6 linked regions of the Cricetulus griseus genome follow. The protein of the gene in region 1 interacts with the protein of each later gene in a biochemical or structural test. Links are inferred from orthologs where the notes say so. Each region holds a gene or a part of one and is shown in the gene's direction. Other genes may lie near its edges. The genes, in order: Yap1, Ttyh3, Shank1, Slc9a3r2, Trerf1 and Josd2.

Region 1 (3,500 bases):
GTGTCTGGTCCTGCAGCCACCCCTGCAGCACAGCATCTCCGACAGTCTTCCTTTGAGATCCCTGATGATGTACCCCTGCCTGCAGGCTGGGAGATGGCCAAGACATCGTCTGGTCAGAGATACTTCTTAAAGTAAGTGAAGGTAACCCTGGGAGGTGGCAGTGCAGGAATGGCACTTTGCTGGTGCTAAAGATGGAACTCGGCCTTATCGGTTAACAATCATACTTTGCCATTGAACGGCACCCCCCCAGTCCTCCATTTTTATATATGGGAGTGTCCGCTTTAGTGTTGGTCATCTTGAAAGCCTATTTATTCTTGGCTCAGAGCCTTTTTGCAAACTTTTGTGGCAATATGGGGTAATCTCATTTTGAGTTTGTGCCAGATTTGTTAATTAGCCTGGCACAAAACAGAATGCCATGAAAAATTTAAATTTTAAATAGCAAGACTGACACTGGTTATATTTTCTGTGTGTGTGTTGTCCCTTGCCCGCCTCTCCCCCTGCATATACTCATATGTCTTGAGTTTTGAACCAAGGACCTTGTATATTCTTACCAAATAAATAATTGACAGAGAAGGAAATAAGTAGGACTTGGGGAAGAGGTGACTCTACAATACTCCTTGTGAAACAACAATCAGTTAAAGCTGCCTTTTGATGCCATTAAACAGCTTTTTCCCTCAAAATGAGAAGAAAACACCAGTTGTTAAGTTTGGCCTCCAGTCATGCACACTTTTCAGGCTGTACCTTCTCTGGGAAATGGAAGCAAGCCCACTGGGTATCCCTCAGCCCAGTCTTTTTGTTTTTAACAAAATGGCAAAATAACACCCATCTGAAAAGGACAAAATAGAATTTTATCCCCTCAAATTTTGAAGTTGGAGGTAGATCTAATTTTCTAGGGCTTGTTTGAATTTAGAGTGCAAACTGTCTCAGACTGGTTGTTACAGACTGTGGATTGTTCTGCTCTTTGAGTTGGTTAATTGGGCTGAGATGCTGATGTGAAGAACAATGCTCATTTTGATGCAGATCTGTTTAGATGTCTCAAGTAAATGCAGCCTCATTTATTGGATCAGAGAACACCAGTAACAACCTTGTTTTGTTTGTGAGCTACACCCCGCACCCCCCACCCCTACCCGGTCTGTATTTTCAGTTGATTGTCTTGGGTGGGTTGCTACTTTGTGTGTATTTGCTTTTTGAGACAGGGTTTCTCTGTATCCCTGGCTGTCCTGGAACTTGCTCTGTAGACCAGGCTGGCCTCCAACTTAGATCTGCATGCCTCTGCCTCCCAAGTGCTGGGATTAAAGGCTTGAGTTACTGCTTTATAGTAAGGATACAGAGTTTTGTGACATTGCAGTTCAGGAGGACAAGGGAAGAGATTTGATCTTGATCTTGGAAAGCCTCTAACCCCCCCCCCCCCCCCGCCCCCAACACACCTTGTTTTTTGTTTTGTTGCCATTTTTTCCTGTAAGGCTTTAAAAACAACAACAACAACAACAACAACAAAAACATTTTCTGGTGTTCTGGTACTCATTTCAAGGGGTCAGGTTTCAAGGAGAACAATAAAGAGCCTGAGACTGGAAAGTACATATAAGCCTGGCAAACTCATCCACCAGAGCGAGATCATTTATTCTCTAAGCAGACTTCCAAAGTAGATGGTTGGGAGAGGGGGGCTGTGTGTCCTGAAGGAGAAGGGAGGGGAAACAAACCAGGTTGTTAGGGAGGAAAAGAAAGACTTGGAGTCCTGACTGCCTCCCTGCTGTGTCCTGTGGTGACCTGGGGTGATGTTAAACAGCTTAATAGCCTGCAGGCCTTCAGTTGTGGCTGTGGTTGTGAGCCGAAGGTTAAAGAGCAACATTTATGCTGCTTTTACTCTTTTGTGTTTTCTTAAAATTGCTTGTTGGTGACATCTGTTTGCATCTTCATTATTTGAGGGAGTGATCTTTTCTGAGCTGAAATAAGCCTCTTTGTAGATTCTCTTAATTTTTTTTTTTCTATAATTCTTCCTATGGCAAGTAACTGCTGGGTATGTAGGTTTGAGGAGGGGTGCTCCACACTAGCTCCACCCCAGCTTAGCATTCTCACCTATTTTTCGTGGGGGCTAGGAAGATGGTAAACCACACCAAACTAAGACTTGCCATAGGAGGATTGAGGAAACTTGGCCTAGGAAGCAAATGCTGGCAGGGTCTGAGAATACAGTATTGATTTTGAGGCTGCCCATGGAAGTTGGGGCGGCTTCTATGATGAATGAGGGTTAGGGTTCTGTAAGCTTTTCCACATCATGCTCCTAGAAGGTCACCCACCCCTGAGGGGTGACTTGAGCCCTCACAGCAGGTGAGCTGAGTCACTGGGTGTGGTAAAGATCCTGTGGAGAACTGAATGTAGGAGGTGGGTAGTCTTATGAAGTTGCTTTTTCTGAAGAGGAAACGCCTTATGAACAATATGCGGTTTGGAGAAGTGATGTGAAACAGAACTTTCTCTCCATTGCTGGCTTCCCCCTGCTGTTGTGTACTGTGTAGTTACCATAAAGAGAAAGAGCTGTTGTGCACCAAACAGATGAATGAAATTAATATCTGCCCTCACTGAGTCAGAGATGATGATGGTAAACTAAGCTTTGATGCCAAGTAGCTATTGTGTCAAAATTTATTTTTATCTTAGTTTTTAGAATCTATTTCTCTTCCCATCTCGTGTGAGGTCCTGAATATAGCTTACAGTTTTAGTGTGAGCCCCAGGAACCGCATGATGAAAGGGGAGAACTGACTCCTCAGATTGTCCTCACACATTACAAACTCAGAACTGTGGTGCGTCCACATTTGATATGCACACACAGGTGCATAAATACATAACTGTAACAAAAACCTTTCAAAAGGATGCCAGCCAGTCGTGGAAGGAAGATCTGAACTAGTTTCTGAATTCTAGCTCATGCCAGCATGAAAACTAAACCTTCCATTCATCTTTTTAGGTATTTACTGGGACAAAGTATGTCATTTCTTGAGATTTATACATGGGGGGGGGGCGTGGAATTCTGACCACAAATGGTCCAAGTTGTCAAGGTGTTGTAACTTGAGAGATCTGGGAGAATTAGTGACTTTGGGGACAGCTAATTGTTGCCTTGTGACCTCAAATGAGTGTTGAAGTCTATTGGCCCATCCTCCACTTTCAAGGCCACCTAATTACCATGGTTGGTGTTAAAGCCTGTCCTTAAGCCAGTGAGCTCTAGAGCCTTGAACTTTATATTGGCAAATGACCGGGGCTGGGGGTGGGGTGGGGAGGTGGTGGTGGTGGTGGTATTTGCAGTACAAGCACCTCTGTCCCGGACAGGGACCCAGACTCTAGAGAGTATGCTGTACTAAAAAAAAGCCTTAGTCACTGGAGATGCCATATCTTTGTCACCAAACTTAATGTTTGAAACCAATTTCACCACAGCATTTTGAGTTTTTATTTTAAAAGAATCAATTCTCTTTATACCTCAGCACTTCTGCAGGTTTTCCTGCAGGAAATAGTTCTTC
Region 2 (3,500 bases), about 45 Mb from region 1:
GGCTGGGGATCGTCCTGCCTGCTCTAGAACCTTCTGTATGCATGTGGGATGATCTGGTAGTACAGGTGACAGCTCTGCACCTGGCTCCAGTTCATAGTGCTCCTCTGGCAGGTGTGGGACACGGCTGCGGCCCTGAATCGCACAGCAGAGCCCAACCTGCAGAGCCTGGAGCGGCAGCTAGTTGGGCGACAGGAGCCACTGAGGGCTGTGCAACGGCTGCAGAGCCTGCTGGGGACGTTGTTGGGCTACACCGCTGCCATCCCCTTTTGGAGGAACCCTGGTGTATCACTGGAGGTGCTGGCTGAACAGGTGGACCTCTATGACTGGTACAGGTGAGCCAGGTGGGGTAGACCCTTCCCCCTAGGGTCCACCCCACCTGGGTAGAGCATCACCCTCCTGGACCACTTTGTACAGAGTGGCTGAGGCCTTATAGGTTGCTAGCCATAGCAGGAATCCCTGTGGGAGGAGGTGCTATCTTTTTCAAGAACTGACATCAAATCAGACTTGGCAGTATACAGCCATAATCCCAACACTATGGAGTCTGAGGCAAAGGGGGCTGGGAGCACCAGGCTAGCCTGGGCTAAATGTCAAGACCCGGCCCCAAAAGACATAAGTCCCAGGCTGTTTACCCAGCCCTTATCCATGCCTGGCCCCTGTGTGTATCCACAGGTGGCTGGGGTACCTCGGCCTGCTGTTGCTTGATGTCATCATTTGCCTCCTGGTGTTGGTTGGCCTCATCCGCAGCTCCAAGGGTATCTTGGTTGGGTGAGTCAGAGGGGAAGGTGGGTCCCTGTGGGCCCATGGATAGACGGATGGGGTAATGGTGTGGGATAGCATAGCCCTGTATCCTGTCAATAAAACCCACTTGGCTCTGGCCATGAGCATCTCCTAAGGGCAACCTTCCTCTTTGAGATGCCATACTGCTGTGACCAGTGTTATGAGCTACTTGCAGGTTTATGGTTATTAACTGTGCTCCTCCCTGGGAGACTCTGCACAAAGAGTACTTATAGCCAGTGGCCAGGTCTCTGAAGTGGTGGGGGACACAGGCAACCTGGCTGGGTTCCAGCCCAGCCAGTTCGGCTGCTTACCTTGTCAGCCAGCTTGAACAGTCGACCCATAGGTGCCAAACCCATCTCTAAAAGACAGAAACATGTCAGCTTGCCAATGGGGTGGCTACAAGAGGATGTCACTGTCCCCCCTGAGCAGTCACCTCTTAGTTACTATTGGATCTGGCACTGTTGAGCCCCCATAACGCTCCAGCCCCTGCCAGGGGCACCTGCATGCCTCCCAAGGATTGGAAGATAAACAAACATGCAGAGGCTGAAAGTCAAGTGATGATGCTGAGTTGGGAAGCAAAGTCAGAGAGCAGGCACTCTTCAGTGTATGTGTGTGTCCTGAGGGGTTCCGAGAGAGAGCGGGCACTCTTCAGTGTGTGTGTGTGTGTCCCGAGGAGTTCCAAGAGAGAGCGGGCGCTCTTCAGTGTGTGTGTGTCCTGAGGGGTTCCAAGAGAGAGCGGGCACTCTTCAGTGTGTGTGTGTCCTGAGGGGTTCCGAGAGAGAGCGGGCACTCTTCAGTGTGTGTGTGTGTGTCCCGAGGAGTTCCAAGAGAGAGTAGGCACTCTTCAGTGTGTGTGTGTGTGTCCCAAGGAGTTCCAAGAGAGGGGATAGTAGGACAGATGCATGTAGGCTAATGTGTAGGCCTGCAGCTCAGTGTGTGTAGAAGAGCAGGGGACCCTGAGGGAGGTAAGAGCCAGCCATGCATAGGAATGGGTGGCACTGGCATAGTTGCAGGGCTTGATATGATCAAGGTCTCATGTAAACAGGATGTATGAGACCGAGGGTGACACAGGATCTTCTACCCAAGCCTGGGTTGCTGTCACTTGTCCCCAGCCGTGCACTCACTGGGTGAGTCTCATCCCAGCCAGGAGGAGCATTTGTGCAGGTCCAGAACTTGAGTGACTCTGAGACCTGGTCACTGGAAGACTTACCATCCTGTGTGAGTCAGACCCACCCAGGCCTTAGGGGCCTGGCATTTTGTATTGCAGCTGTGTGTATGGTATGCCCCCTATCCCCTGTTCCCATCCTGATGGGCCTTCTTTGCCCCAAGGGTCTGTTTGCTGGGTGTCTTGGCCCTGGTCATCAGCTGGGGTGCACTGGGCTTGGAGCTGGCCGTGTCTGTGGTGAGTGGCAGGGGAATCAGGAATCCCCATCTGATGGGCTTTGGGAGGAGAAAGCCACACTTCTATTCCCCCCTCATCTTGCCCTGGGTCATACAAATCCATGCTCCCTGTATTCCACTCTGCCTCCCTGAACTAAGGGCAGACCCTGGGGGTAAGGGGCAAAGTCTCCTTGAGAACTCTGGGTGGTCATGGCTGGCTTTTGAGGCCCAGCTTGGTCACCTGTCCTTTCTTGCCTCACCCATTTCAGGGCTCCAGCGACTTCTGTGTAGACCCTGACACCTTTGTGACCAAGATGGTGGAGGAGTACTCAGTACTGAGTGGGGGTGAGTCTGTGGCTATGTGTGGGGCTGAAGTGACCTAGGACAGCAAGGTGGACAAGGCGGAGGCATTCCTGCCCTTATAAGCCTTTGACCTCAGGGAGGCATGGTATGGGTCAGGAAACTGGTACCCCAGGTTGCTTCCAAGTAGGCAGCCAGGGGGAGTCTGTGTCTCTAGTGGATGTCTGAGGCAGAAGCCCAGGCTGTGTTAGTGAGGCAGCTAATTGGTAACAGAAGGTGGGAAGCCAGGAGGCCTGGCCACAGTTGGGAGTATGGGCTTTCGTGAGTGAAGACAGAGTCCCAAGACATGCGATAATCCTTGTAAAAGCTCCCTGAGCTTGGGCACAGTACACACCAGGAATCCCTGTACTCGGGAAGCTGCAGTGGTAGAAACTTGAGTTCCAGGCCAACCCTGGTGAAACTGTCTCAGAAACTCAAAAATATAAACAAAAGCTGCCTGGGGCTACATGAAGAGCAAAGGAAGAAGGAAGCTGTTAGAGCCACAGGCCCTAGATGGCGGGGGCAATGGAGGCTTGAGCAGGTGGAAGTGGGCATCGATGTTCCCTCAAGGTGGGACCAGCAGGGCTTCCTGACACACTGGATACAGGAAGAAAATGAGGAGCGGTATCCCTGGGCCTACAGCCCCTGCACTCCTAGAAACTGAATGGAACGCAGAACCTAAGGCTGAGTGTGGGTGCTGGCATAGAGCGCCCACTCCCATTGTCACTGCTTCTGAGCAGGAAGACCCACCCCTGAGTGTCCTGCACACTTCAGGGGCCCCACTCTGAGGACAGGATCATCCACAATCTCCCTGGAGGTCACTGCTCAGCCTCACATATATGCGAAAACATACATGCACATGTGTGTGAATGCATGTACATACAAGTATGTGCAAGCACGTGGATACAGATATGCATGGTTTGCAAGCATTGGCGTGTGTAGATACTCAGACACAGGCAGGCACACTTGAGGACAGTGTGAATGCATGTACTTGCATGTCGGCA
Region 3 (3,500 bases), on another chromosome or scaffold:
ACACACACACACACAGAGAGAGAGAGAAAGAGAGAGAGAGAGAGAGAGAGAGAGAGAGAGAGAGAGAGAGAGGGAGAGATTGGAGTGGAAATGAGACAGGTATGAGCCTGCATGGGTCATTCAAGGCTCACCTCCCTAACAACCCCTTGGAATTAGAGCTGCCATCTGTCCTTTCTTCCTGAGTTATCTGTCCTCCTTAGGCACTTCTGGACCTTGGGGGCTCTCCCAACTACAAGGACCGCCGAGGGCTGACACCCCTGTTCCACACAGCTATGGTGGGGGGCGACCCCCGCTGCTGCGAGCTACTTCTGTACAACAGGGCCCAACTGGGCATTGCAGATGAGAACGGCTGGCAGGAAATCCACCAGGTATTCAGATTTAGTACAAAGCATCCAAGGGGCTGGGATGCGAAAGAGATGGCAGAGTTCCTTACAGAGAGGGGATGTGGGTGCAGATCTCTGACCTCAAGGAAGAGAGCCTTGGAAGGATTCAGATGAGGTATAATCAGGCTTACGCACTCCCTGTACCTCCAGGCCTGCCAACGGGGCCACTCTCAGCACCTGGAACACCTGCTCTTCTATGGGGCTGAGCCTGGAGCCCAGAATGCCTCAGGAAACACAGCCTTGCACATCTGTGCCCTCTACAACAAGGTCAGCCCAAGCAACATCCATCTGCCCCTTCAAAGGCCTATGCTTCACACAAGTTCACTCAAGCCTCCTACAACTTCTGTTCATTCACCATTTCCACCTACCTACCCATCCATCCATCCATCCATCCATCCATCCACTCACCACCCATTCATCCATCATCCACCCATCTATCCTTCCATCCATCCATCCATCCATCCATCCATCCATCCATCCACCACTCATTCATCCATCATCCACCCATCTAGCCACCCACTCGTTCATCCATCTGTCCTCCACCCATTCATCTATACATCTACAAATTCATCCCTCTGTACATCTACTTGTCTACTCATTCATCCACTCATCCATCTATAATCCACCCCCACCTATCTACAAACCTATCCACTTATCCATCCACCTACCTACTCACTCATCCATCATCCAGTCATCATCCATCTACCTATCCACTCACTTATCCATATCTTTGTCTACCCAGCTACCTACCCACCCATCTCCCATCCATCCATCCATCCATCCATCCATCCACCTACCCACCTTCCAGCCAGCCAGCCATCATCCACCCATCTGTCCATTGAGTTTAATAAGCTTCTCCTCTGTGTCTGGCTCCAAGCTTTATACTGAGCTTCTGGTCTAATCCTGGGTGCTCAGTAAAGTTATGGAGAATCATGTTCCCTTGGGAGCCGTGTTTGGAGTTGGGTGGAGGTGGCTTTCTGAATGATGTCAAGACAGCAGGAGCAAATGAGGGAAAAAAGAGTGCTCCGGGAGGGGAGCACAGCTGTGTAAAAGACAAGGGGCTGAGCAGGTGGAGCCTTTGCAGGGGGCAGAGGAATGAGAAAAGTACAGCCTGGGGATATTGTATATTCAGTAATGTTTTGTGGAGGGTCCCTCTCCAGGAATTTTGGGGAAAGATGGGCTGTATAAAGGAGGCAAGGGTCTCCCCAAGTGGGACAGCTGCCAGCAAGGGCTAAGACCCCTTTGCCATCTGAGTACCAAGAGACTCCAGGTGAGCCAGGCCCCTTGGAGCTGCAGCCTCTTCTCTCCCCAGGTTTTCTGAGATTCTTGTCCTTGAAGAGCTGCTTGGGGGGCTTCAGGGTAGGGAGGGCAGCACTTGCTGATCTGCCCTCCCTTCCTCCAGGAAGTCTTCCAAAACAGCCCCAGCCCCTTCTGCCTCCTGAGAACTCTCAGTGCTGGGGATATGGCGGGTATCCAAGTGCTGCCTTGTGGCAGTGAGCAGAATGCTCAACGCCAAGAGATGACTGGTGTTCCTCAAACCCAGCAACATGGTGCTGGCATTTCCTTCCCAAGTACTACTGCCTTCTCTACTGCTCCTTATGCAGGCCTCTGTGCCAGGACCTCTGGCTCTGAGGCAGGTGCTTGGTGGGGAGAGAAAAAGCCCCAGCCCCCCACACCCAGGAAGACCCTTGAACAAGCGCCTTCCACTTTCTGGGGCTTTGTCCTCCCCGAAATGAGAATCATGTCAGCTGATTGAAAGGGATGAGTGATTGTGTACATTAAGTATTCATCCCTAGAAGACAGCCGTGATAATAATTGTTATTATTAGTATCATCGCCAGTGTCAATTGCCAGGATGCGGTCAGAAGGCTGGCATTCATCTGAGCAGGGAAAATTGAGTACAGAGAATTATACAGCATCCACTATTCCCCAAAGAGGGCCAGATGAGCATATTGTTTTGCCTTCTTTAGCTCCCCTACTTTAGCTCCCACGATCTGTGAAATGGGTCAGTCATGAATATCCTTCAAAGGATCAAGCAAGTGAACACTCTGCTTGCTATCAGATCGAATAGATGCTTAGCAAATGTGAGTTCATCTTCCACTTCTCAACCCAGTCTTCTCTGTGCTTATCCTAGCCAACATGCTACCTATGGACGTCAGTACACCCACCTACCACACACACACACATATACACAATTATTCACACACCCACTCACCCACCCAACAACCCATCCATCCATCCATCCATCCATCCATCCATCCGCACACTGATTTATCCATCCATTAATACACCCATCTATCTGTTCATCTGTCTCTTCATATACCAGTTCATCTAACCATCCACCCAGCTACCCATCCATCCATCCATCCATCCATCCATCCACCCATCTGTCCATCTGTCTGTCCACTCGTACATTTACCCACCCATCCATCCTGCTGGCAAAGGTCCCTAGGCTGTGAGCCTCTCAAGGGTTGGGACAAATTCTGGTAGATTCTGATTCTGCACCAAACCCCCAGAAAATAGTAATTATTTTGCATCCATGAATCTATCCCTGTACCCATCCATCCATCTATTCATATATCCATCTGTCCATCCATCCACCTATCTAAGCTGGGTCTGACCATCACCCTTTGCTGTCTGTCATCTTGGCCCAGTGGTATGAACATGTAGCCCCTGCTGGTGGACCAGTCCTACACTGTGAGTCTCTCTCAAAACCGGGACAGAATCTCACAGACTGCTCTGTCCCAAGCCCTCAGAAACAGTATTCCTGATGCCATTGTGTGCAGTGAGAGATGAATGAATGCATGACTGATTGAATGAATGATGGGGCTGTGGGTCTCCACCTGAACTGTGCACAGCTCTGGGCTCAGGACTCTTGGCAGGTGGCTGCTGTTTTTGACAGATTGAATGACTCAACAGATGAATGAATAATTGAGTGACTTGAGCAAATGAATTTTGATTGATAGCTCCACATCCTCCGTCTCCATTTCTTCCAAGTGAATTTCTTTAGCACCTACTGTGTGCTTGGTGCCAGGTTCTGAGGAAAAGAGACGAATCAGAAATGGTGCCAGCCTCAGGGAAGGGAAAGAAAGCTCTTGGTTTGGTGAATATTTAAACA
Region 4 (4,008 bases), on another chromosome or scaffold:
AGCAACAATGTATCTTCAGCCTAAGTGCCTTTCAGGGGCAGCCACTAGGGTGTGGGTACCCAAGGGGCTGCTGCCTATGATTTTGCTCAGAGGCGGTCCTGGTGCTTGGGTGGAGGTGGAGAGCTCCAGCTAAGGGCTCCGGAAAGAGGAGAGGGAGAGGCAAACACTGAACTAGGGCTGCATCTCCTATCCACATGGGGAATTGTATGAACTGGCTATACCTGATCCAGGGGGACCAGGTAAGTGAGGAGCAGTGGGCTGGGGAGAAGCAGACTGTAGGTGAGCCTGGATCTCAGCTGCCATATGTGCCTGAGAATATACTTGCAGGTCAAAGTGCAGTCTCACAGTACTAGGCTCCAAAAAAGGTTCAGAACCTCCCTTTGCCAGGCCTCGGTTTCCTGATCTGTAAAATGGCCTCTTTCCTCCGGGGTTGTTCTGAGGGTAACTGTATAGGAATATGCATAAGTGATTCTCTGAGGGACTGCTGTCCCGCAGGTGAGAACTTACACAAGTGTAAAAGTAAGAGTTTATGGGGGATAGAGGATGGGAGACCTGTGGGGTTTAATATGGGACAGCTGGTCACCACCTAGAGCTCAGGAGCCAAAGTTCATCCTTAGCAGAGATCATACCAGGTCAAGAGGAAGGCAGCAAATACCCTTGCATCTCTGCCAGATAAACTCATGTTCCCGAAAAGCAGGGACTATGGGTTCAGGATGTTTAGTGAACAAACACTTCCTGGGAGGGGCAGGGGGTCACCTAGTCACTGGCATGTCTCTTTAAATTTGTATTTTGCCTGTTGCACTCTGTGTTGGGGATCTAAATTCAGAGGGCAAAGAGGGAGCGGCCAGAGCAATCCCGGTGCGGTGCGTAGAGGTGTATTCCGAGGAGGGAGAGCAGCGGCCCCTGTTCTTGCCCTCTGGTCTCTGTGTAGGGGTCCTTTCTCTAAGCTCCCTATTTCAGGAACCTCTTCAATGTAGGGAATGTAGGGTATGCAGGTGTCTATGAGTGGTTCCTGGAACAGAGGGCGAAGGTGCTTCGGAGGGTGGCCAAAATGGGATGACATAGGAGTCCCAGGGCTCGGGGTTGTGACCCTGCAATCTTCGCTCCATGGTCTGGGCTCCCAGGCAGGGGCCTAGCTAGCGGGGCTTGGGCTAGGGCGGGGGCAGCCAGGAGGGCGGGGAAGGGGCGGGCGCGGGGGCGGCGCGCTGCAGCAGGAGCAGGAGCAGGGGCCAGGGCCAGAGCCGAAGCCGGAGCCCGAGGCGACGCGAGCTGAGCGGGAGCCACAGAGGCCGCTGCCTGCTCTCCCGCCCGCGCCTCCGCCGCCTCCGCGCTCCAGCCTGCGGGGGTGTGAGCCGTGGCCAGTCGCGGCCAGCCAGGGGGCAGCGGGTGCCATGGCCGCGCAGGAGTCGCTGCGGCCCCGCCTGTGTCGCCTGGTGCGCGGCGAGCAAGGCTACGGCTTCCACCTGCATGGCGAGAAGGGCCGCCGTGGCCAGTTCATCCGGCGCGTGGAGCCAGGCTCCCCAGCCGAGGCGGCCGCGCTGCGCGCCGGGGACCGCCTGGTTGAGGTCAACGGCGTCAACGTAGAGGGCGAGACGCATCACCAGGTGGGTCCCTGCGCTGCGCCCCGCCCCCCGGCACCCTCCTGGGGGCGCGTCCCTACAGCGCTGGCCAAGATGCCAACAACCCCCACTTCTGCGTGCCACATGGTGGGACCCGGCCAGGGTCGCACAGGGGCCTGCCTGGGTTCGGTGTTGAGGTGTGGGACGTGGCCGGCCAGCTGGCCTCCTGGTGAGGAAGCTCAGTCCTGCACTAGCGGGGGAGGGAGGACATCCTGGTAGGGAGGGGCCGCACTGCGGCTACTCTGGCCAGGGCCCTGGCTGCTTCTGCTAGTTTTGGCCTCTGTGTGCCATGGAGGGGGAGGAGGTGGCTAAGGCACCTTGTGGCCTTGTGGTACAGATGCTTTTCTGTCAATGTGTGAGTGCTTGCAGGTCTCTCTGGGGTCATCCATATGAACACACTACCCAACTGTTCCAGGATGAAAGCATTCAGTGTCAGTGCTGGAATGTGTGTCTAGGGTTGGGTGGATACATCAAACATGTATGCCAGCTGTGTGTGTGTGTGTATGTGTGTGTCCGTCCATCTGTCTGTCTGCATGATTGGATATACTGGTGTACTTCTCTCATGGGCCCTTATGTCTGGGTCTGGCAGTCAGCACCATGGCAGTATACTTCCTTGGTGTCAGAAACAGCCTCCTCCTGAGAGGCTGCCTGGCCCTCCCTGTATAGGTCACTGTTCAGCTCTTGCCTTCTGTAGCCAGAGGAAGGCTGTTCTCTCCTCAGGTTTTACCTCTGGGTGTCTGTATCCTGCTGAGGGGTAGACACACCTCAGACCTTGGCTAGGGCCCAGACTTCTTCCACCATTTCTGCCTGGATCCCTGGTACCAGCATGTCCATGACCTACCTGTGTGGTTAGTCTTGGAGCCTGGAGAAGGCAGGGTGGTACTTCACTGGGCCATGAGGGAATTCCTGTCTCCCTCAGGAACCTGCTTTCTACCTACAGTGACCACTGGATTTGGTTGTGTGATGAAGAGTTTGGGATGGAGCCCAAAGGTTGGCCCACAAGGCAAGGTAGAGACCTGCAGGGTTGGTGTCATCTGCCTCTAGCAGTTACTGGAATCCACCTGTTTATCGCAGGTTTCTGGGGTGCTAGTCCCTACAGACTTTCACGCAGAGCCACATTCGATCCTTTCTCCTGCTCAGGAAGATAGGAGGTAAAACCATGACTCCTATTTTACTGACTGGCTCCGTTCCCATGCCAAAAGGTGTCAGGGTGCTGGGATCCTGTTCTATTGGTCACAGGGAGAGAGGATGGTCATGGAGGGGCCAGGTGAAGGTGGCTGTGGGTCAGACCTTCCTATCTGTGATAGGATAGCATGTACTAAGTGAAGTAATGATGGGGATTCCGTCTCTTCAGCCGCAGGCCTTGGTGCAGTTGTTAATGCTTCCTGCCCTTCAGATGTCCGGTGGGCATGTCTCCCTTTGAACTCAAACTAACATCCTGCATGATCCATGGTAGCCCACATGCTCTCCACACTTCACAGGCACCCATCCAGATACACAGATGGCTGTCAAGCCACACCTCTTACACTGTTGTATCTGCTACTGTTCGCCTTACCTGCTGGAGTGGGATCCTGCTTACCTGATATTTCTGGCACCTTAGGTAGAATCTCTAGTTCTTCACCCCTTTGCAGGTGCAGCAAGAATGGGTTTCTAGTCCTGGTCTGGAGGCAAATTGGAGTTCTAGAGATTTCTGGGTGTTAGATTCACACTGCATCTCAGAGAAAGAAATAAACCCAAATACTCACATTGGGGCCATGTAGCCCTCTCCTACACCTAGGCGGAAAGACAGACTTTAAAATAGATGCACATACAGACACACACACACACACAAAAGCACACACATACAGATAAGCATGCACACACACATGCATAGACTAGACTGAAATCCTGAAGCTCAACTCAATCGTTTCTGACTCTTCCATCTGGCTGCTCCTGGCATCTCCTTCCTGTCCTTACCTGAGCTTGGTGCAATGCCACAAGAGGATCCTGAAGTACTTGCAGCCTGGGCCCTAGCTCAGGGAGAAGAGGGAGGGAGCTACTGGAAACTGGGGGTGGGGGGTGGAGCTCGCAGGCCTCTCAGTCCAGCTGCCCACCCCTGGCAGGCCAACCCCTGCCTGCTGTCTGTGAGTCGTGCTTTGCCAAGAGTGGCGCCCTTTCGAAGTGGTGCCCTATCCATGTGTTGCCCAGCGTGTTGGCTGCTGATCTAGTCCTGCTACCCACCCATTCCAGGTGGTACAGAGGATCAAGGCTGTGGAGGGGCACACTCAGCTGCTTGTGGTGGACAAGGAGACAGATGAGGAACTCTGCCGGCGGCAACTGACCTGCACTGAGGAGATGGCCCATCGAGGGCTTCCACCAGCCCACAACCCCTGGGAGCCAAAGCACGACT
Region 5 (3,500 bases), on another chromosome or scaffold:
GTGCGTGCGTGCGGGGCGCGAGCCCCCTCCTGCCCCTCAGTCGTGGGCCCTGCATCCCTCGAGAGGGAATTGTGTCTCCTGCCCGGAGCATGTGTGGTCTGTCCCTGCAGGGCGGGCAGTGGGGCCACTAAAGAGCCACTCTGCTGGATCCCCTCAGAACAGATGGAAATGTAGTGATAATAAGACAGAGGAATTTGAATTTATGGCTTCTCACCGACCCGCTCTACCCTTTGCAGACCTTCCGGATTTTCTTTCCCAACCAGCCCAAGGCCGATGTGGTGGGAGTGGGGAAGGGGGGTGATGAGCAGAAGGGAGACAGTCTCTCCCCCACCCCCTTAGAATTTTCGAGATCCCTGGCCAACCTGTGGAAAGGGGCCACGGCAATGACAGAAAGGGGCTAGTGGCTGCGATGTCCAAGTTTGAATCCCAACTATTCCTCTCACTCTAGGAAATCCCACGGAAACACCATCCAGCCGTCACCGCAAAAGTTGAGGAGCCCCTCAAGACCCTGCCGGAGAAGAAGAAATTCCGGCACCGGCCCGAGCCGCTCTTCATCCCGCCACCGCCTTCTTCCTATACTCCCAACCCCACCTCTTACTCGGGGGCCACCCTGTACCAGAGCCAGCTGCGCTCCCCACGCATCCTCGGGGACCACCTGCTCCTGGACCCGGCCCACGAGCTGCCCCCCTACACACCGCCACCCATGCTGAGCCCGGTGCGCCAGGGCTCAGGGCTCTTCAGCAATGTCCTCATCTCCGGTCACGGCCCAGGAGTGCACCCCCAGCTGCCCCTCACTCCCCTCACGCCCACGCCACGAGTGCTGCTGTGCCGCTCCAGTGAGTCATCCCTTAACCCCTGCTGTCACCCCTGTCGATTCTGGATACTGCCCTGAGTGGGTGGGGAGTCTCACTTTCTTCAACTGGCTAGTTGAAGTATCGGTTATGTGTTCCAGATACTTTGCATGTTAGGTGTTGTTAAATTCTCAGCATCTCATTTAGTAGCTCAAGGGAATTGTTCTGAGGAGAAAAGTAAGTGAATCGTCTTTGGGGTTTAAAAAAAAAAAAAGGTGGGGGGGGAAGCGTACACACTAAGACCGCCTTGGGTGGTCAGACAAGATGCTTAAGATATTTAACAGATGTCAGGGGCGGGGCTTTGGGTGTTATAGGCAAGAGCAAATCTTAATATTTAGCATGTTTATAAAAATAAAAATATTAAAAAATAATATAAAAATTAAAGAACCAATCATGAACTCTGTAGGCAGTACACAAGTGTAACTCCAGCTACTAAGGAAGCTGAGGTAGAAAGCTAGGGAATTCAAGGCCAGCCTGGGCAGCACATGAAAACTCCATCTCCTCAGAGCTGTTGAGCACAGAAGGGAGAAGAGAGAGATCTTTGTAGCTAGGTTTCTTTCTGGTTGCCTAGAAACCATGTAGCAGGACAACTTTTCCTCACACTATGTGAGAAACAGTTATCTTGCTCCTGTAGTCCCAAGCACTGGGGGGCTGTGGCTTAAAGCTGGCAGATAGGAAGTTCAAAACCAAATTGAGCTAAACATCAAGACCCTTGTCAGGGGGCTGAAGGAGGAGGAGGAGAGAAAGAAACAGAAAACTGCATGTATCCATGCAGTCCTCTGGAAATTGGTTTAGGTTGTCTAGGAAAGAGCCTGGTTATTGCTGATTGGCTAATTACTGGTCAGCTAATTGCTCATTGTTCTCATGTCTTAGGAAGTTTTCTTTGTTGACCAGTAAACCCTAGTTTCTGTTTCAGGCAGCATCGATGGCAGCAATGTGACAGTCACCCCAGGACCTGGAGAGCAGACTGTGGATGTTGAACCGTAAGGAAAAGCCAATTATTCTTTTTCTTTTTTCTTTTTTTTTGGGGGGGGGTTGGGGGGTCTTTGAGACAGGATTTCTCTGTGTAGCTTTGCAGCCTATCCTGGCACTCGCTCTGGAGACCAGGCTGGCCTCCAACTCACAGAGATCCACCTGCTTCTACCTCCTGAGTGCTGGGATTAAAGACGTGCGCCACCAACGCCCGTCCTGAAAAGCCAATTATTCTTTAGAGCACACACCTGAGATAAGGAATGGTCTGGAAGCTTCTAGAAGGTCAGTCAGTACTTCTATAGTCAGTGGCCACTGAGAGGGGAGAATTGTGGAAATGGTAGGAACATGGCTTTTCTTGAGTACTACTGTTTCCTTATAGCTGCTAGCATTTCAGAGTCTTTTCTTAGGACTATTAGCATTCCCACCTCCACGGGCCAGTTCTAAACTCTAATACTTTCATATCCCCAGGGACACTGAGGCCTCTCTCTTTTTTTTTTTTTTCTTTTAATTTTATGTGCATTGCTATTGGATCCCCTGGAACTGGAGTTAGACAGTTGTGAATTGCCTTGTGGGTGCTGGGAATTGAACCTGGGTCCTCCTGAAGTGCACTCAGTGCTCTTAACCCACTGAGTCATCTCTCCAATCCCTTGAGGGGTTCTCTCTTGGAGGTGCTTAGCTAGAAGAGAATCCCATGCCAGTCTTCCAGATGGGACAAGAGGTTGTTCACACCTGAGGCGAGGTGGACTGGCTCGGGATTCCATCACATTGCTTAAAATGTCATGAAAGTAAGGTCTGGATTTTTCCATCTAATATTTTCCAACATTAGTTGATCACAGGTAACTGAAAGCCAAAGAAAGCTGTAGATAAAGAGGCACTACTTTACTGTGGAAGGGAAAGTGGTTCATTTCATGAATGAACTTAGAAAAGGGGCCTTGTGGTACAGAGCTTTAAAGAGTCCGGAATCAGAAAGTTTGAGTTGACACCATTCTGGTTTTGATCTGTACTGAGTCAGTTTCCTGAGGCCTTCATTGGTTCCCTGAATGGCAATCGTGATTGCTGCCAACCAACCAACCATGAATACTGCCTTGTTCATATCACAGACCTCTGTGAGCTTAGATGACATAATATATGTGAAAGAGGTTTGGAAGGGATAAATACATAAATATTTTACATTGTTGCACACACGTAGCCCACTTCCAGTTCTGTGTTCTAGGCAACTCCTCTCTTGGAATTAGCTGTCTTCCACTCCAGTTTCAGGGAGCTGAGAATCTCCAGGCAAACGACTGCCTTGCCCCTTCCCCTGTCCCCAGCATTAAAGCTATCTGTACTAGTGAAAAGGCCTGGACTTGGAGGGCCCTGCCACAAGGAGATGCTCTGGCATCCTTCTTTTAGAAGGAACTGCTGTCCTGTGTCTTCAGTTCCTGACAGTGGCCCCTGGCCTAGGCCATCACAGTGAAGGCTGCACTGTTTTTCTTGTCCTTAAAGACGCATCAACATTGGCTTGAGATTCCAAGCAGAGATCCCAGAACTGCAAGATGTCTCCGCCCTGGCTCAGGATACACACAAGGCCACACTGGTGTGGAAGCCGTGGCCTGAGCTGGAAAACCAGGCCCTCCAGCAACAAGGTACTGACACTTAGGAGGAGCAGGGTGGGTGAAGCTGGCTGCTCTAGCAGGA
Region 6 (4,038 bases), on another chromosome or scaffold:
CAACTGAGGGAACATGTAAGAGTCTCAGCTTCCTGACCCTGCCATTGTTTCCAGAGCCTTCGAGTCACCATGGCCACACATCCTGATGGCTTCCGACTGGAGGGGTCCCTGGCTGCAGCACACATCAGTGGGCCGCGCACAGTGCTCTACGAGGGCCCTGTGCGTGGGCTCTGCCCCTTGGCCCCCCGAAATTCTAACACCATGGCAGCTGCTGCCCTGGCTGCCCCCAGTCTAGGCTTCGACCGTGTCATTGGGGTGCTTGTGGCTGACCTTAGGTGAGCAACGGAAGTAAGTGGCCCACCTGTGTACAGGCCAGATGTACTAACTACCCTTCTCCGCTGGCTGCAGCCTCAAAGACATGCACGTGGTGGACGTGGAGCTGAAAGGCCCCCCAGGGCCCACAGGCCACAGCTTTGCTGTGCACACCCACAGAGAGAACCCAGCCCAGCCTGGCGCTGTCACCGGCTCTGCTACTGTCACAGCCTTCTGGGGCAGCCTACTGGGTGCGTCCAGACCTCTCCAAGAGTCCCTTGACTTTTGTGCCCTGCAGAACTCACATGTCGGATGTCCCACCCCGGTTGTCTGTCTTTGCCCATCCTTAGTTTTCTCTCCCAGGTCTCTCTTTTTCTCTGAGTCTCAGCCCCCCTCTTGTCTCTGCATCCACACCCCACATCTCTTTCTGAGTATCCTCTTTGGGTTGTACTACACTATCATTTTCAAAGCCCACGGCCGCCATGGCTGCTTGCATGTCTGTGTGGTCATTCTAGTCTTTCATTCTCCCCACAGGCTGCTGCCAGCTCCCCTCCAGACCTGGGATTCACCTCTGCTGACAAGTCTCCCCCGCTGCCCTTGCTGTCACCTCGACCACTGTGTGTCTCAGTAAACATCAGAGTTCTGTCGGCTGTTCTCTTTGGCCTCTTTAGTTCCTTATCCCCTAACTCTATTACATCACGCTTCAACACACTGTGTGTGACGCCATAGCAGCGAGCGCACGAGCATACGCACAAACCATTTTCCTGGAAGCTATCGCGAGAGCCCCAGTTACTACATTTCCCAGAAACCTCTAGACTGCAGTGAGCCCTGGGGGTGCATGAAAACTGGCTGTGTGGTCCGACGGGAGTTGTAGTTCCGCGCTGCAGAGCGTCCCCGGCGGACTTCCGTACCGCGCGTCCTATTTAGGCGCCTCGGAGGCCTTCGGGAATTGCAGTCAGGAGTGCTCGGGCGGTCGGGAGCTGTAGTCCGTCCTGCCTGCCCAGTCAGCGTGGTACCACTCGGCCGCTACCCAGGGAATGAGAAAGCGGCCGGTCCCAGCGAGCAGAGAGGCCGACGGGGTGAGGGCCAAGCGAGTGCCGTGCGGAGGCGGGTGGGAGCGTGCCTGGTTGCCAGGTGACAGGAAGAGGGGAGCTCCTGTTGCTTAGTGACTGGGAGAGGGCCTTGTTGCCAGGTGACGGGAGGAGAGAACCCTGGTTATTGATGAGGGGAAGTCTTTCGTTGCTAGGCGACCAGAAGAGACCCTGTTACCCAGAGACGGGGAAGGAGGAGTCCTCCATTGCTAGGTGATCAGAAATCGGACCGGTTACCAAGCGGGTGGGGAGTACTCTGTTGCTTGGGAACCAAAAAGGTATTGTTTCCTAGGGACAGAAGGGGCGATACTTCGTTACTAGGTTATAGTGATCCGGACTTTTTTTTGCTTAGAGACATGAAGTGGGGGTGGATCTCTATTGCCAAGTGAGCAAAAAAGAGCCCTTTCCCCCTAGGACTAGGGCATAAAGATGCCTCTACGCTTCGGAGACAGCCTAGGTAGCTGGGTCGTTTCCTCCCAAGCTGGCTCCAGTGCCCATCTCAGTGGCTGTTGCCCAGGGACACAGGAGTCTGGAGACCCAGATGGCCGAGATCCTGGGTCCCTAACACTTTCTCCTTGTACCACCCCCAGCAGGAGCCGAGGAGGGCATGTCTCAGGCCCCGGAAGCGCGGCCGAGCCCACCCTCAGTGTACCACGAGCGGCAGCGGCTAGAGCTGTGCGCGGTCCACGCTCTCAACAACGTCCTCCAACAACAGCTCTTTAGCCAGGAAGCTGCAGATGAAATTTGCAAGAGGTGACTGCCCTAGGTCCTGGCCCTGGAAGAGCAGGGCTGAGGGGCATGGGAGCCTGCCTGGGCACTAACAAGGCCGGGGCGCAGATCCTGGAGCTGATGTCTGCCCTTCCACCTGCTGCTTCTCACAGCCTCAACCCAGCTTTGGCCTCAACCTCTCTTATCTGAGCCTTTGTCACAGCCTCCCAGCTGTCTGTGTTTCTCCTCCTGACCATCCTACACACAGCCCCACAGCTGCCTTCCCCCTCCTCTGCATTTATTCCTCTGGGGGTCCCTGGCACTCCTAGAGAATAGCCCAGGTCCTTCAGCCTGAACTCCAAGGCTTTGGGTGCTCTGGTCCTTGCCTACCAGTCTGCAGCTTCTCCTTCACTACTCTCCTTGGCCCCAGATGACCCCACTGTGGTGATTCTGAGCTCTTACCCAGGCATTCTTGTTCTTCTTGGTCACGTAGGTGCCCTTCAGAATTTCAACCATCACTTTCTTAAACTCTCTTCCTAGTCCCACTTCTAGGCCCCACAATCCTTTCACAGATACGCCAACACCCCAGCCTGCAGTTCATGTCCACATCCAGAGGCAGCCTTCACATCTTCTCACTGCTGCTCAGCCAGCACCCTCAGACTGTAGATTTATGTTAGGAGATATCCATCCCCCTGCCACCAGCTCTGTCATGCCAGGAGCATGCTGAACAACTAGAGCTAAGGCAGATGTAGTGAGGAGAAGGCTCGGGACACAGAGCAAACACAAGTGGTTCCCTCCATGTCACTGCTCTCCAAGGGGCCAGCTCTTCAGAGGAACAGGGTCACATCTGGAGAGAGCTTAGAGGGAAGGCTTGGGCACAGGGACAGCTGGAGATAGGTGGCTGGTAAGAGCTGGTGCTGAGGCTATGCAAGAACCACTTGCCACTGGAGGAGGTGAGAGTCTGTCCCCGGGATTTGGGGCACCAGGGAGGGCTGTGAACAGAGTAGGGCAGGGTATTGCCAAATGAAAGAGGCATTCTGTATTCAAATATGGTGACATGAGCGGCATTGTCACTCAGGGGAGCTCTGTGCCCATTCTGGGGGTTTGATGGCTTCTCTACCAGAAGAAATGACATCTGAGGCTGGTCTGGAAAGAGGCCATGATGAGAAGGGCAGATGGAAGGGCAGAGACTTTGTCCAGAGCACTTGGGAGTCATGGGAGAGGTGGGAGTAGGAGAGAGGCAGGCAGCTCAAGGCTTTTGGAGGTGGATCGGATGGAGAGACTAGAGACTGGGAAGGGTTTCTGAGTGGAAAAAGACAAAAACTTTAGCTAGGCAGAGAGTACAGGTGTTGGGAATGGGAGGAAAAACAGGGCTTAGAGCCCAATGAGCTGTGTGGGGCTTAAAGAGAAAGAGCCAAAAGCCAGGCTCTGGGCCTCTCCTGCTGTGTGAGAAGTTGAAGGCCTTTCCAGGATTCCCAACCTTGGCTCTGCCCCCTTCACCCCCAGGCTGGCCCCAGACTCCCGGCTGAACCCTCATCGCAGCCTCCTGGGCACCGGCAATTATGATGTCAACGTGATCATGGCTGCCCTGCAAGGCCTGGGCCTGGCCGCTGTGTGGTGGGACAGGAGGAGGTAGGGCCTAGGCTGTGGGCTACACTGGCCCTGGGTTTGTGGGATGAAGCAGAGGGTGACTTGAAGGTAGATGGGGGAGGTTTTTGCCAGAGAGCCTCTGGCTAATGGGGACTGACTGACTGACTGACTGACTGACTGACTGACTGACTGATGAGCTAAACTGATAAACTTGGTACCAGTGAAAGGTATTCTGTGGGGGGTCCAAGTGACATGAGTGACTCATGACTGAGGAAATGGGGTTAAGAGTAGTGAGACCAGCCTGTTGACCTGAGGCAAAACTGAATTGGAAGCTGGCCTGGGTTGCATATAGAGACCCTGACTCAAAAAGGCAAATAACAAAACGTTGAGGGGCTGG

What was found.
Region 2: the proteins of Yap1 (region 1) and Ttyh3 interact in a test that uses a peptide from one of them, tested with the Homo sapiens proteins (2 studies listed by BioGRID and IntAct, with this or other methods). The link is inferred for Cricetulus griseus from reciprocal best matches to the Homo sapiens genes YAP1 and TTYH3.
Region 3: the proteins of Yap1 (region 1) and Shank1 interact in a test that uses a peptide from one of them, tested with the Homo sapiens proteins (2 studies listed by IntAct, with this or other methods). The link is inferred for Cricetulus griseus from reciprocal best matches to the Homo sapiens genes YAP1 and SHANK1.
Region 4: the proteins of Yap1 (region 1) and Slc9a3r2 form a complex in vitro, tested with the Homo sapiens proteins (2 studies listed by IntAct, with this or other methods). The link is inferred for Cricetulus griseus from reciprocal best matches to the Homo sapiens genes YAP1 and NHERF2.
Region 5: the proteins of Yap1 (region 1) and Trerf1 interact in a test that uses a peptide from one of them, tested with the Homo sapiens proteins (2 studies listed by BioGRID and IntAct, with this or other methods). The link is inferred for Cricetulus griseus from reciprocal best matches to the Homo sapiens genes YAP1 and TRERF1.
Region 6: of the proteins of Yap1 (region 1) and Josd2, one has a biochemical effect on the other in vitro, tested with the Homo sapiens proteins (2 studies listed by BioGRID). The link is inferred for Cricetulus griseus from reciprocal best matches to the Homo sapiens genes YAP1 and JOSD2.

The regions. Positions count from the first base shown.
Region 1 is NC_048597.1:122,382,175-122,385,674, reverse strand, and holds part of Yap1 (transcriptional coactivator YAP1), read left to right. Parts: coding exon 1-131; intron 132-3,500. UniProt on the Homo sapiens protein: Transcriptional regulator with dual roles as a coactivator and corepressor. Critical downstream regulatory target in the Hippo signaling pathway, crucial for organ size control and tumor suppression by restricting proliferation and promoting apoptosis.
Region 2 is NC_048597.1:77,238,308-77,241,807, reverse strand, and holds part of Ttyh3 (protein tweety homolog 3), read left to right. Parts: intron 1-111; coding exon 112-332; intron 333-669; coding exon 670-765; intron 766-2,106; coding exon 2,107-2,179; intron 2,180-2,426; coding exon 2,427-2,502; intron 2,503-3,500. UniProt on the Homo sapiens protein: Calcium-independent, swelling-dependent volume-regulated anion channel (VRAC-swell) which plays a pivotal role in the process of regulatory volume decrease (RVD) in the brain through the efflux of anions like chloride and organic osmolytes like glutamate.
Region 3 is NC_048599.1:153,187,677-153,191,176, forward strand, and holds part of Shank1 (SH3 and multiple ankyrin repeat domains protein 1), read left to right. Parts: intron 1-200; coding exon 201-368; intron 369-533; coding exon 534-650; intron 651-3,500. UniProt on the Homo sapiens protein: Seems to be an adapter protein in the postsynaptic density (PSD) of excitatory synapses that interconnects receptors of the postsynaptic membrane including NMDA-type and metabotropic glutamate receptors via complexes with GKAP/PSD-95 and Homer, respectively, and the actin-based cytoskeleton.
Region 4 is NC_048600.1:44,234,673-44,238,680, reverse strand, and holds the start of Slc9a3r2 (Na(+)/H(+) exchange regulatory cofactor NHE-RF2), read left to right. Parts: upstream 1-1,208; 5' UTR 1,209-1,391; coding exon 1,392-1,604; intron 1,605-3,848; coding exon 3,849-4,008.
Region 5 is NW_023276806.1:256,688,868-256,692,367, forward strand, and holds part of Trerf1 (transcriptional-regulating factor 1), read left to right. Parts: intron 1-448; coding exon 449-836; intron 837-1,767; coding exon 1,768-1,834; intron 1,835-3,308; coding exon 3,309-3,448; intron 3,449-3,500.
Region 6 is NC_048599.1:153,335,043-153,339,080, forward strand, and holds the start of Josd2 (josephin-2), read left to right. Parts: upstream 1-1,238; 5' UTR 1,239-1,289; coding exon 1,290-1,331; intron 1,332-1,444; exon of another isoform or gene 1,445-1,498; coding exon 1,499-1,556; intron 1,557-1,933; coding exon 1,934-2,096; intron 2,097-3,557; coding exon 3,558-3,683; intron 3,684-4,038. Other genes in the region: Aspdh (putative L-aspartate dehydrogenase), read left to right, coding at 55-275, 349-559, 787-869, 1,127-1,238. UniProt on the Homo sapiens protein: Cleaves 'Lys-63'-linked poly-ubiquitin chains, and with lesser efficiency 'Lys-48'-linked poly-ubiquitin chains (in vitro). May act as a deubiquitinating enzyme.